2 separate regions of the Mus musculus genome follow, and region 2 is reported to be linked to region 1. Evidence: microRNA targets listed by miRTarBase, many of them from high-throughput screens and not tested one by one. Region 1 holds a microRNA gene; the other region holds the end of a gene's coding sequence.
The links. Region 1 holds the annotated microRNA mmu-miR-1188-5p (UGGUGUGAGGUUGGGCCAGGA, at 2,391-2,411, shown strand). A microRNA usually pairs through its seed, bases 2 to 8, with sites in the 3' UTR of a target mRNA and lowers its output. Matches are read on the target gene's strand: a 7mer-m8 pairs with bases 2 to 8, a 7mer-A1 pairs with bases 2 to 7 and ends in A, and an 8mer does both.

Region 1 (5,370 bases):
CATAGACAAGAAACCCCAGCCACCTTCACAGCTGGCCCCTGAAAGTACACACTCACACATACTCCACATATACTGAGTACAAGCCCAGGAGCAATGACAAGAGTCTCCCATAGAAACTACACAGCACAGGTGTGTCTGGTTGAGGGGTATATCTGCTAAAAGCCCCCAGTGAAACCCCCATTAATAGGCTAGCATTTCAGCCACAGCCATCAGTGCCCAGGCTCCTGAGTCTTCCCACTAGGTAGGGTGCTTTTCCAAGCCTCCCACCCTATTCAGGTCATGCAGCCCTCTGACTCTGTGGCTAGCATCTAGCCTCCAGAAAAGTAGCCTGCTTTTTCTATGACCAGCTGATACCTCAACCAGACAGACCCTTTTTCTATGCCCCCCACCCACTTTACCAGACTGTTACCTTACAGATGATTCAGGCTAGCACTCCTGAAATCAGCCAGAGAAGACTCTTAGCTGCTCCAGCTGGCCCTCCCTTAAGGAGGAGTTGGACAGCTCCCACCAACCCCCACTCTCCCAAAGCACTCTCCCCCAATCACAGTGCTTCTCCCTCAGTGCCTCAGTGGTACTACGCTACCAATCAGGGTGCCATTGCCATTTAACCTCTGGTGAGGGTCACGGCAAAGGCCACCCATCCTTGTCCTGACCCCTGCCAGGTACCCTCCAGCCAGCCCCACTTGTTGGCTCCCGACTGGGCACTGGGGCTGCTTCTCAAAAGCCTGTCCCTTTGGGCTGCTAGCCAGCTAGAGAAACCTGCTGCAGCTTCCCCATCACCTACCGGCCTGCCTCTCTGCTCGGGTGCCTCCAGTAGCAGTGAGCTCTCTCTCCCCAGCCGCTTGCTTGGGGGCTCACGTACTGAGACGCTCCTCTCAGCCCTCCCCTGTCTTTTACATCAGCCTCCGCAGCTCCAACAGCAGCCTGCTTATGTCTCGGCCCTCAGGTCTTTAGAGGAGGCAAGCTCCCTCTCTTCAGGGTCCTCTCTGTGCTGTCGTCAATAGCAAAACCCCCACCCACCCTGAGAATAAATTTGGGGCCTCTTCCACCTGTCTGGGGGTGCTTCTCCTATGCTCTCTTGCCATTGGTTACTGAGCCTTTTGCCCTGCTGTTCTTCCAGCAGCCCAGGGGAGGGCGTGGTGCTCCCCTTAGGGGAGGGGGGGCAGCTGCTCTGTCTCTAGCTCTTAATCAGCTCTGAGACCCTCTCTCCCTCTCTCTCTCTCTCTCTCTGTCTCTCTGCCCCTTCACCAGTTGCTAGGGAGAAGCCTCTGAATGCAAAGCCCCCTGTTTTCTATTTTTTTTTCTTTTTCCTGACTGAGCAGTGGCTGCCTGGCCAGCTCCGTTTGACCTGCAGAAGTGGGAGCTACAAGAGCAGCTGCAGTAGAGCCAGGGGGCTCTCAAGCTGCACAGCTAAGCTTGACTCTCCCTCTGTAGCCGTGAGGCCACACAATTCCCTTTAGTTTTCAGAGTCTCGGGCTTTCCCTGTGAAATGAAGATGAGAGTTTTTCTCTCACCGGCTTGAAGTGAGGACTGAAGCAGATGAGAGTAGCTTAGCCTCCACCAGACACTTTATAAACGCTCGTGGAGTCGCCAGTGGGATCCAGGAGGAGGGTGACATGTAACAAGTGTCATAAGAGAGACAACAGTCTGGCTTTTCAAAGCTCCATGCTGCATACACGCTACAACATCTCCTGGCAGAGTCCCCTCTGCAGGCTTAATCACACAAATCAAGCCAGCCCGGAGGCAGCTCTTAGCCTGAGGAACTCACAGGAGATGTGGGAGATGTGGCAGGCAGCAGAAAGCCCTGCAGAGCCCACATCTGCATTTACTAGCATTTGCATGGTTTATAACAAGCATTTGGGTTTATAAAGCAGAGAGACACATACAGAGATATTCCTTCCCTGTCTCTCCCTTGAAGTGACAGCTAAGATAAGGAGGCAGCATGCTTAGGGCATGGTATAGCCTCTGGGAAATGGCTAACTCTCCACTCATTCACACCAGACACTGCAACACTCTTACCTCCTAGATCACTAGGGTGAGGTTAGGGTTAAAATGATGATGTCAGTTGGCCGGTCGGCCGATCGCTCGGTCTGTCAGTCAGTCGGTCGGTCGATCGGTCGGTCGGTCAGTCGGCTTCCTGTCTTCGAACTGCAATCATTCTTATGAGAAAACAAACAGGAAATACTTTGCCACACACCAATGCAATCAGGGTGGGTGATGGCAGTCGGGATTCAAGTCACCCTAGTTGAAGCCCTGAGCTGGGTGGGCTGTCTGTCCAGAACTCACATGGGAAATTTCACAAAGAGGAAAAGTCTCATGATCTCCATTGGATTGGTGAAGACACCATGGCACAGAAAAGCAAAGAAGTCCAATACTCACAGTCTCCCAGCTGGTGTGAGGTTGGGCCAGGATGAAACCCAAGGCTCTCCGAGGCTCCCCACCACACCCTGCTGCTGAAGACTGCCTAGCAAGGCTGTGCCGAGTGGTGTGGGTGGGCAAAGGATGGATTGACTAGTTATAAGCACCTCCCAGAAGTCCTTGAGATCTCAGCTATTTTGTGGCCCAATCCCTTTGAAGGGCAGGGTCAAAATTAGGTGTAGGCACCTACCTATTAGCGGAGGCTTATGAAAATGACATTATTAACCTGATGCAGAGAGGGCCCTATTCATCTGTAATTAAATTATAAATAGAGTTAGTGGGGGGCTAGGGTCTCTGTGTATTGACTGCAGTCTAGAGTGCTCAGAATTTTCCAGGGCTCTGGTGAACTTTTCGATGAAAAGTGTCACCTCTGAGCATCTGGGGCTTAAAGCTGGGAACAGAGACCTCCTAAGGCAAGCCCCTCACACTAGGGATGTGCCCTATACTGACCCCTTTATGGTGGGAGAGCCCCCGACCACCTCCTCAAACACAAACTTAGACCCTGACCTTCCTCTCATCTCAAGTTGCCATCTGTGAGAGAGAAATGGAAACTGAACCTTCTGAGAGACAATCCCATTCCTGTGTGATAAGAGAGGGGAACCAAACATCCTTCAAAGAGACAGCCTTCTCCCAGAAACTTTCCTGGTTATTGCTACGGTTGCCAGACACCTGTCTGCTTGTCAGAGCTGTATTCAACAGGATAACTCTGGCAACTTCCCTTCCTTCAGAGGGAGATGTGGATGGGGATAGAGGAGTGGAGAGGGGACTCTTAAAAAGGAGCAGAAAGCAGAGTTCTGCATCCGATAGAAGTTGGGCCACTTAAGATTTGTGCCAACTCACGGTGCAGTGGAAATGGTCTGAAATCTTTAAACAGCAGCCAAGAGTCTGTGGCGCCCCCAAGTGCCACAAGGGGGCTGCCTGGGCTACAGTTTTTGCGTTCCCAAATGAGGAGGGGGGAGACACGAAGAGGGACCTACGCTTTGGATTTCTGCGGCAGCGCTTTTAATTGCAGCAGATGCAGAGGACGCAGGCAGGCAGGCGGGCGGGCGGGCGGGCGGGCGGGCAGGCGGGCGGGCGGGGGGCGACAGTGTCCCGGGTGGCTTCAGGCTGCACCTCTCCCACAGAGACTGTGCTGCAGTGCAGCAGGAGCTGCGGCGGGCGAGTGGCTGAGGGTCGGAGCTGTCCAGTGTCTGCTTTCCAAAGTGAGGAATGAAAGATGAAGGAGAGGGCTTGCAGGCAGTGCGAAGTGGCCAGGAGCCCAGGAAACCCAAGGGAAGAGTGAAGAAGAGCCTGTGGTTTTTGCAGGAGGGCCAGAAAAGTGTGGGCTCTGGGAACGATGGAGAGTCATAAGGGGTTAGTGGACCAGCAGGTCTTGGGGTCTCAAGGTGAGTCAGTTTGCTGTCCTGTGACTGAGCGCAAACTCAGGCGGGGGGCTGAGAGCAGCCGAGGCGGGGCGGCTGCAAACAGCGATAGGGGGAAAAGCATCAATTCTTACCTTTCGAGCAAGGCTTAATTAAAAAAAAGAAAGAGAGAAAGAAAGAAAAAAAACGAAAACTAGACAGTGTGACTGAGCCAGTTACTCGATGTGTGTGACAGGTGACAGTGCTGTTCTCTTAACTAAATTGGCACAGTGTCCCAGCAGAAAGATACGCAGGTTGCTGGTTTTGCCCTAAGGAGAGATGCTGCTGCGGGGTCTTTGCAGCTCAGTGGGGAGGGTCTGGCGGTGCTAGAGGTCCCATCAGGGAGTAGATGGTGTGAATCTGGTGGGTGTCTGTTTCTAGAGTGCCCCCCAACACTTTCCCTTCAGTCCACCCAGTTTGCAGGGAGTGTTTCTTCGGTCCCGTGCTGTTTCAGATCCTTGTAAACCAGCCTCAGGATGCTGTGTTTCCTTTATTGAGTACCCAAAGCCCCCTCCGAGCTGTTAAGCGTTTCTCTGGACGCCGTCGGCACCTCTGCACTCCATTTTTCACTTGTTGATTAAAAAGAAAGTCAGATTTTATTATGCTTTTTTTTCCCCAGACACCACAAACGGATAAAACAATGTGTTCTTAAACAGCACAGTTTTAACCTGTATTTCATCTTCCAGATGTAGTGCCCATCAAATTCACACACACCCCTGCTTCATGTGAGCCCTGGACACCCCCCTCCCCTCCCACTGTTAAAGTCCTCATCTTTTGCACTGGTTTGAAGCTAATTCTAGAGATCATATTGTCTCTTCTGTGTATCTCAGAATATTTATCTCTAAGCAAAGCCGTTTTCCTTAATAAAAACATAAAGATATCCATTGCCACAATCTGTAAAATAAAAATACGTGGGATGCCATTACCACAATTAAGAAATTAACAGCTTTTCCTTTCTGCCATCTAACCTCTATGCAGTGTCCAAATCTGCCTGATGAACTCATAAATTACTTTTATGATTGGCTTATTCAGATTTCTGTCCAAAGTGCTTCCTGCACTTTCAAGGGGACTGTGGGGGTTCTCTAAGGTAAGTACAGCCTGAAACGCAGGGCTTTATACCAAATACAATCTCAGTGAGCCTCGGTTTTTCTCCCTGAAAACGGAGCCAATTCTCAGAGCCTCCCAGGGCCACCAGGCAAATTAGAGACAGGTACACACGCATCCCCCAGCCTCATTTCAAACGGAAAGCAGACACCGGCAGCCAACAGCTGTTACTTGAATTATCTGTTTTTCCCGGAAACCTCTAAAGGAGTTGGACTGGATAGACGAGAGAGCTGGCTATCGTCCACAAAACAAAAGGCTCCTGGCAGGCCATGGCCCCTGAGTGATTTAGCCACTTGGGAGCAAGGGTCGCCTGCACTCCTGGGGGCTAGGTCCGGGACCCCCACAGGGTGCTGGTCCACTAGATGGCACTATCTGCTATGTGTCCAGGACCAGGACAGACCACTCCCCAAGATGCTCAGGCCACAGCCGAAATATCCCAGCCCAGGTG
Region 2 (5,370 bases), not on the chromosome of region 1:
GGATCACCTGATGCCCCCACCCCGCCCCAACCCTTCAGGCCTCCTTTTTTTCCTGCAGACAGCTGAGCCTGCTGGACTTTCCCTAAGGGCTGATTCAGACTCTGGAAGCAAAAGACAGGACCCAGACACCCAGCTCAGCCTGCTCCTCCAACAGGGCCAGGCCCAGGCCTCAGGACACACAGAGAAAGTATGGGCCTCCCAACAGAAGGCGGTACTATATTGGTCAACTCAACCTGTGGGATGGGGGGTGTTGGGGTGTCAGGGCCTGGAGAAGGGGACACAGGACAGAGGAAGAAGCCAGGCTGTCATAGGTAGAGGCTCAGGCTGAGATGGGCCTGGGCTTAGACCCTGTCTCCACGGTTCTCATTAATTTTCTTCCCTGGTCTTGCCTTCTCCCCCTAGACATCCCAGGCATCCAGACCCAGGCCGCCCATCCCCGCCAAGCCTCAGCTTCCTCCTGAAGTCTATACAAGTCCTGCTTCACGACTGCATCAGGCCCCACCCATTAACCCCATCTACCAGGAGCCTGATGAACCCATAGCCTTCTATGCCATGGGGCGGGGCAGCCCTGGGGACGCTCCTAGTAATATCTATGCTGAGGTGGAAGGGCCATCGGGAACGGCGCCCATTGGACACCCCATCCTCCGAAAGTGCTGGTCCAGGCCTATCTCAAGAGGCCAGGTAAGGGAGGTACAGGGAAAGATAAGCTCAAGGAGTCGAGCAGAAAGAGGGAGCCCCTCCTGAATATCGGGCAAGGTGAAGGTCAGCAGGCTGAAGCGAGATGGAGTGTTCCACGCTGCCGAAAACCTTTGCCCAGCTCCAGGCCTAAGGCTCTTCCTGGACATTCACGTGGACTCAGCTTTGTCAAGCCCTACCTGCCCCTACTTCAGGTTTCCTTCAACCACTCTCCATCCCAGGCTGCCTCTCATTGGTCAGGCCTTCCTCACACACATGTGACACTGACCCAGCTCCCTGGAGAGCGTCACTGCCAGTGGGCTCAGAGGAGGAGGCTGCCACACTGTGTGCTCACCCTCACAGTTTCCCCACAGAGTTTCAGTCATGTCTGAATGTGGTATTACTATTAAAGGAGTCAGACTCTTTCCCTTGTACCTGCGTCAGGTCCTACTTCAGGCTTCCTCTCTGCTGCCACCAAAGGTCCCTGCTTGGCCCTCACCAGCCCAGCTCACCTGTACCCTACCAGCCTTCTTAACCCTGGGTCCATCCAGGCTCTGCCAGGGTTCCAAAGCCACTCCAACATCAATTGAACCAACCTCACTCGCACCCTGTGTGGGCGCGCGCATGAGCGCGCGCGCGCACACACACACACACACATGCACCACGCACAGTGTCCTGTGTTCCACACCCTGATTGATTAACCCCCAGCACCCAGCTATCCAGCCAGAAATGTGGGGTCCCTAAACATCTCCATCCCCTTTGCTTCAGTCTCTGTCTGTCAATAATGTCAGTTGCCTCTACCTCCCAAGTTCTGGAATTACCACTGTGTGCTCCTACAGTATGTGGGATCAAACTTGGGGCTTGGTACGTGCTAGACAAGCACTCTATGTCTGAGCCACACCATGATTTCACTGAGTGGCTTAACTGCCTTCCTAGTACCAGGCTTGTCAGCTCTGACCTGTTCTTCCCCGAGGAAGCCAAAATGGGCTCTGTGAGTCAGCTGCCTGGTCCTCCAGCTCTTCCATACTGAGGCGAGGTCCCACTTCGTCAGCCCCACTTCAAGCACCCACACCATATTTCTCCAAACTCACCAAAGGCTACCAAGTCAGTCCTGCCCACAGCAATCCCTACAAGACCGCCCTCCTGCTGCCTGGCAACCCTTAACCCCACTCAAGACCACAAGCCCTTCCCCTTGCAAAGCCTTCCCTGGCCTGACCTCCCAACACACCCTTGCCAGGCCCCTGCTCAGCCCAGACTCCCATTGCTCTTTTTTTCTTCTATCTCCCCTTCCTGCAGAGCCTGATTCACTAGAGGCAGCCCTGGGGGATGCTCAGCTATCTCTAAAGTACTGGCCCAGTGCTTGGCATGAAGCAACTGCCTCAGGGAGGGAGGGGGAAGGGAGAAGAGGAGAGGCAGAGGGATGGACGGGAACCTAAATCCCCTCTGGAGGCCAAAGGGTTAAGACCATATACCTTCTCCTAGAGACTGTAGCTCTGCCAAAGAGGCAGAGGGTATGACCCAGAGCTGTCCTTCTGTCTGCAGAGGACAGATGGTCCAGAGCTGCATTCTGAGGACTGTGTGGCAGAGTAAGACCCTGTCCTTCATCATGAGCCCCCCTGGCCCTAGAGGCTTGCCCTTTCTAGACAGAGAGCACTCATGGCTCCCCATCAGGCCTTATTAGGGGTAAGTCTGATCTGGGAGGGTAGCTTGGGGCATTTTGTGTCCTGAGACCTTCACAGACCCCTGGGTCCTCTCTTAGGGAAGGCAGGTGGGATAGACTACAGGTGAGCAGAGCTTCATCTGCTACACGGATGGCGAGGAGGTGTCACCCCGCGTGCCAGCTCCAATCCATTGGTCTCGGCTGCCTGGCATGCAGCATTGGAAGGATATTAAGGTCAGATCTAAGCTCAGCAGAAAGGAGCAGGTGACGGATGAGTGGCGTCTGCTGTGGGTGCGGGAAGGGTGAGCAGCGTTTCTTTCTCTCCTATCAATTAAGTCCAGTCCTCTCATTATGCAAATCAAGAAACAAGCCAGAGAAGGAGAAAGCCTGGGCCAAGGTCAAGGATTGAAACCCCTCTCAGCATTCCCCATCCGTCCTCTGAATCCTCACTTCTCCACAAGGGACAGAGAGATTTCCTCAGCTAAGAAGCTGGTTGCTCTCCAGAGTTCTGCACTGGGACCTCCCTGCACTCCACCTTTCCCTGTCCCCTTAACAAGTCTGCCTTCCTTGCTCCAAAGCAGCCTGGAAGTCAGAGGACCAAATGTGGGATCTGTGCTTCCTCATAGCAACACACACACCACACACACACACACACACACACACACACACACACACACACACACACACATGCATGCATACACACACACACATACACACACGAATACACACACATGCTTGCATACACACACACATGCACATACACACATACATGCATACACACACATAAACACATACACACACACATGCATACTTGCATACACACACACACACAGACACTCACACTGCTCCCTTCTGAAAGTCACCAGGAACCAAGGCAAGGAACTGTATGTACTAGGGAAGCCATCCTGCCTCCTGTGCCCTGGTTTTTCCTCCTGAAGAAACTGGACTTTAGGAAGCCTTGGCACTCTGAGCCTTCGCATCTGGGCCCCGATCCAATGGCTGCTGTTGTCTGAGAAATGTTTTGGTGAGAACAGATGTTAGGATTTGTTTGTTGGTCCTTGTCTGGCTAATAAATCATTAGCAACAATCTCCCTCCTCGGGAATCTCTGTCCTTCCAGCTCCTCCCCAGCCCTTTTCTCTCTCCCACTGTCGCTCATAGGGGTCTAGAGGTTCAAAGACACTTAGGCAAAGTTATTGATCTTTTGGCTGAAAGTTAAAAACCATGAGGACAAGGACACGGACTCCCTTTGCCAAGTGCTTCTCCCTTAGCTGGGGTAGGCTGGGTGGGCAGCCCGGGCACAGGAGTGGGTGCCTATAGAGATGGGCAACTCAGGACTTGGGAGAAGGGTGCCTTAGCAATCTGTGAGCCCTCAGAGGAGGCAGCTTAAGTCCTTACCTCACTCAGGAGCCCATCCCCCTCCCTGCCCCATTCTATGGGCCTTTCTCCCTTCTCTGCCCAGACTCACTTCAGGACTGGCTTCCTGCCCTAGAGCTAAACTCCTCTAGAGTCCTAGCCCGGGAGCAGTCTGTGCTAGGTCCCACTTTCATCTCACTGGAGGTTTTCTGAGGCTGGCCATGCATGGCCCTACTGGCTCCAGAGTCACCCGAGTCTCTGGAGGTAGCCTTTGCCACTGTTTCTCTCTCTGTGTAGCTCCCCACACAGCTGTTACCCCGATTTACTACAGCTCATTTAAGGTAACATGTGCTTTTTGTGTCCTGTCTCAAAAACAAAAAAACAAAACAAACGAAAATAATGGACTGGCCCTCTGAACCTGTAAGTCAGCCCCAATAAAATGTTGTCTTTGTAAGAGTTGCCTTGGTCATGGTATCTGTTCACTGCAGTAAAACCCTGAGACACTCTCCTGTTGCCTTGACTTCCCTGCCGTGACATGCTTAAAGTGTGAGCTAGGAAAAAAACAAAAAATAAAAACCCTCTCTCCCAGCTGATGCTTTTGTCAGAATATTTTATCCCATCAACAGGAAGAGAAACTAAGATAGCACTTCTTCTTCCCGGCCCAGGCACTCTGGCCCAGCCTGCTCTCACATCTGCCAACAGTCAGACTGTTCGCACTGTAGATCCAGCTGTCCTCCAGACCCAACCTTTCGCCAGTGACTGATCCTCACGACTGCCATTCCCTGCTCCTTGGGGGAATACAGCAGAAAGTTTCAGTATTGTCCCTTGTGCCTGCCTGGAGGACGAGAGACTGGGTAGCAGTGACCCCTCCACACATGCACTCAAAAGGGCTGATCATCCTTAGCTACCTCTATATGGTCCTCCCCCGAATGCAAGCTAAAACCAAAACCCAGCCACTTTCCTGGGCCCCGTGCCATGTCGGCCAACAACAGGGAGGGGCTGGATAGACAGAAGCCCTCACTCAAAGTTCTCCATCTTTCTGCAGTTTGAGTCAGATCTTCAGCCACGTCAGTCTCTTCCACTCTTGTCCTGGCCAGTGACAGTACACCTTTATCTTCAAGGACACTCACTGATGGTTTGTTTTGAGGAAGGATCTTACTCTAGAACCCATAAACCTCCTTCCTCTGCCTTCCAAGGGCTAAGACAGGATGCTTGTGTGGCCAGGGCCTTCTCCCCTTTCCCCCTTGACCGTTGCCGTTAGTCCATTAAGCACACATCATTTCTACAGCTCCTCTCTCTCTGATCCATTATCCATCTTCTCTTCCTGTTCATCGGAGGAAGCCTATTTTCTTTTCTCCTTTTCTCGACCCCGTGCCTTTTAGAAAGGGTCTCACCAAGTAGCCCTAGGTGCCCTGGAAATCAGCGATCCACCTGTCCCTGCCTTCCAAAGTATTGAGATTAGTGTGCCACCATACCTAGCCTACCTTTTGAATTTTGAGACTAAGGCTCACACTGTAGGCCTTAAATTTATGGTAATCCTCCTGCCTCTCTACCTTTAAAGTTCAGAAATAATAGGTATGAACTAACACACGTGCCAGCATTTCTCTTGGTGACTAAGAAATTCCAACCACCAAATAAAATGTCATCTTTGGTAGGATTAAAGAGTGACTTTCAAAAAATG

Region 2: the mRNA of Sh2d2a is a reported target of mmu-miR-1188-5p. Seed matches in the 3' UTR shown: 7mer-A1 at 1,572-1,578, 7mer-A1 at 1,743-1,749 and 7mer-A1 at 2,969-2,975.

The regions. Positions count from the first base shown.
Region 1 is chr12:109,609,451-109,614,820 of GRCm38, forward strand. It overlaps Mir1188 (microRNA 1188), which reads left to right and starts at 2,372; the gene lies at 2,372-2,491. The region is part of intron 2 of Rian (RNA imprinted and accumulated in nucleus); the gene reads left to right. Mir341 (microRNA 341) reads left to right here and starts at 2,050; the gene lies at 2,050-2,145.
Region 2 is chr3:87,851,665-87,857,034 of GRCm38, forward strand. It overlaps Sh2d2a (SH2 domain containing 2A), which reads left to right. Exons shown (of 7, transcript NM_021309.3): 6 at 59-211; 7 at 403-4,058. The coding sequence ends at 744. Among named protein-coding and RNA genes, the nearest start is that of Sh2d2a, 7.6 kb to the left of the region's middle.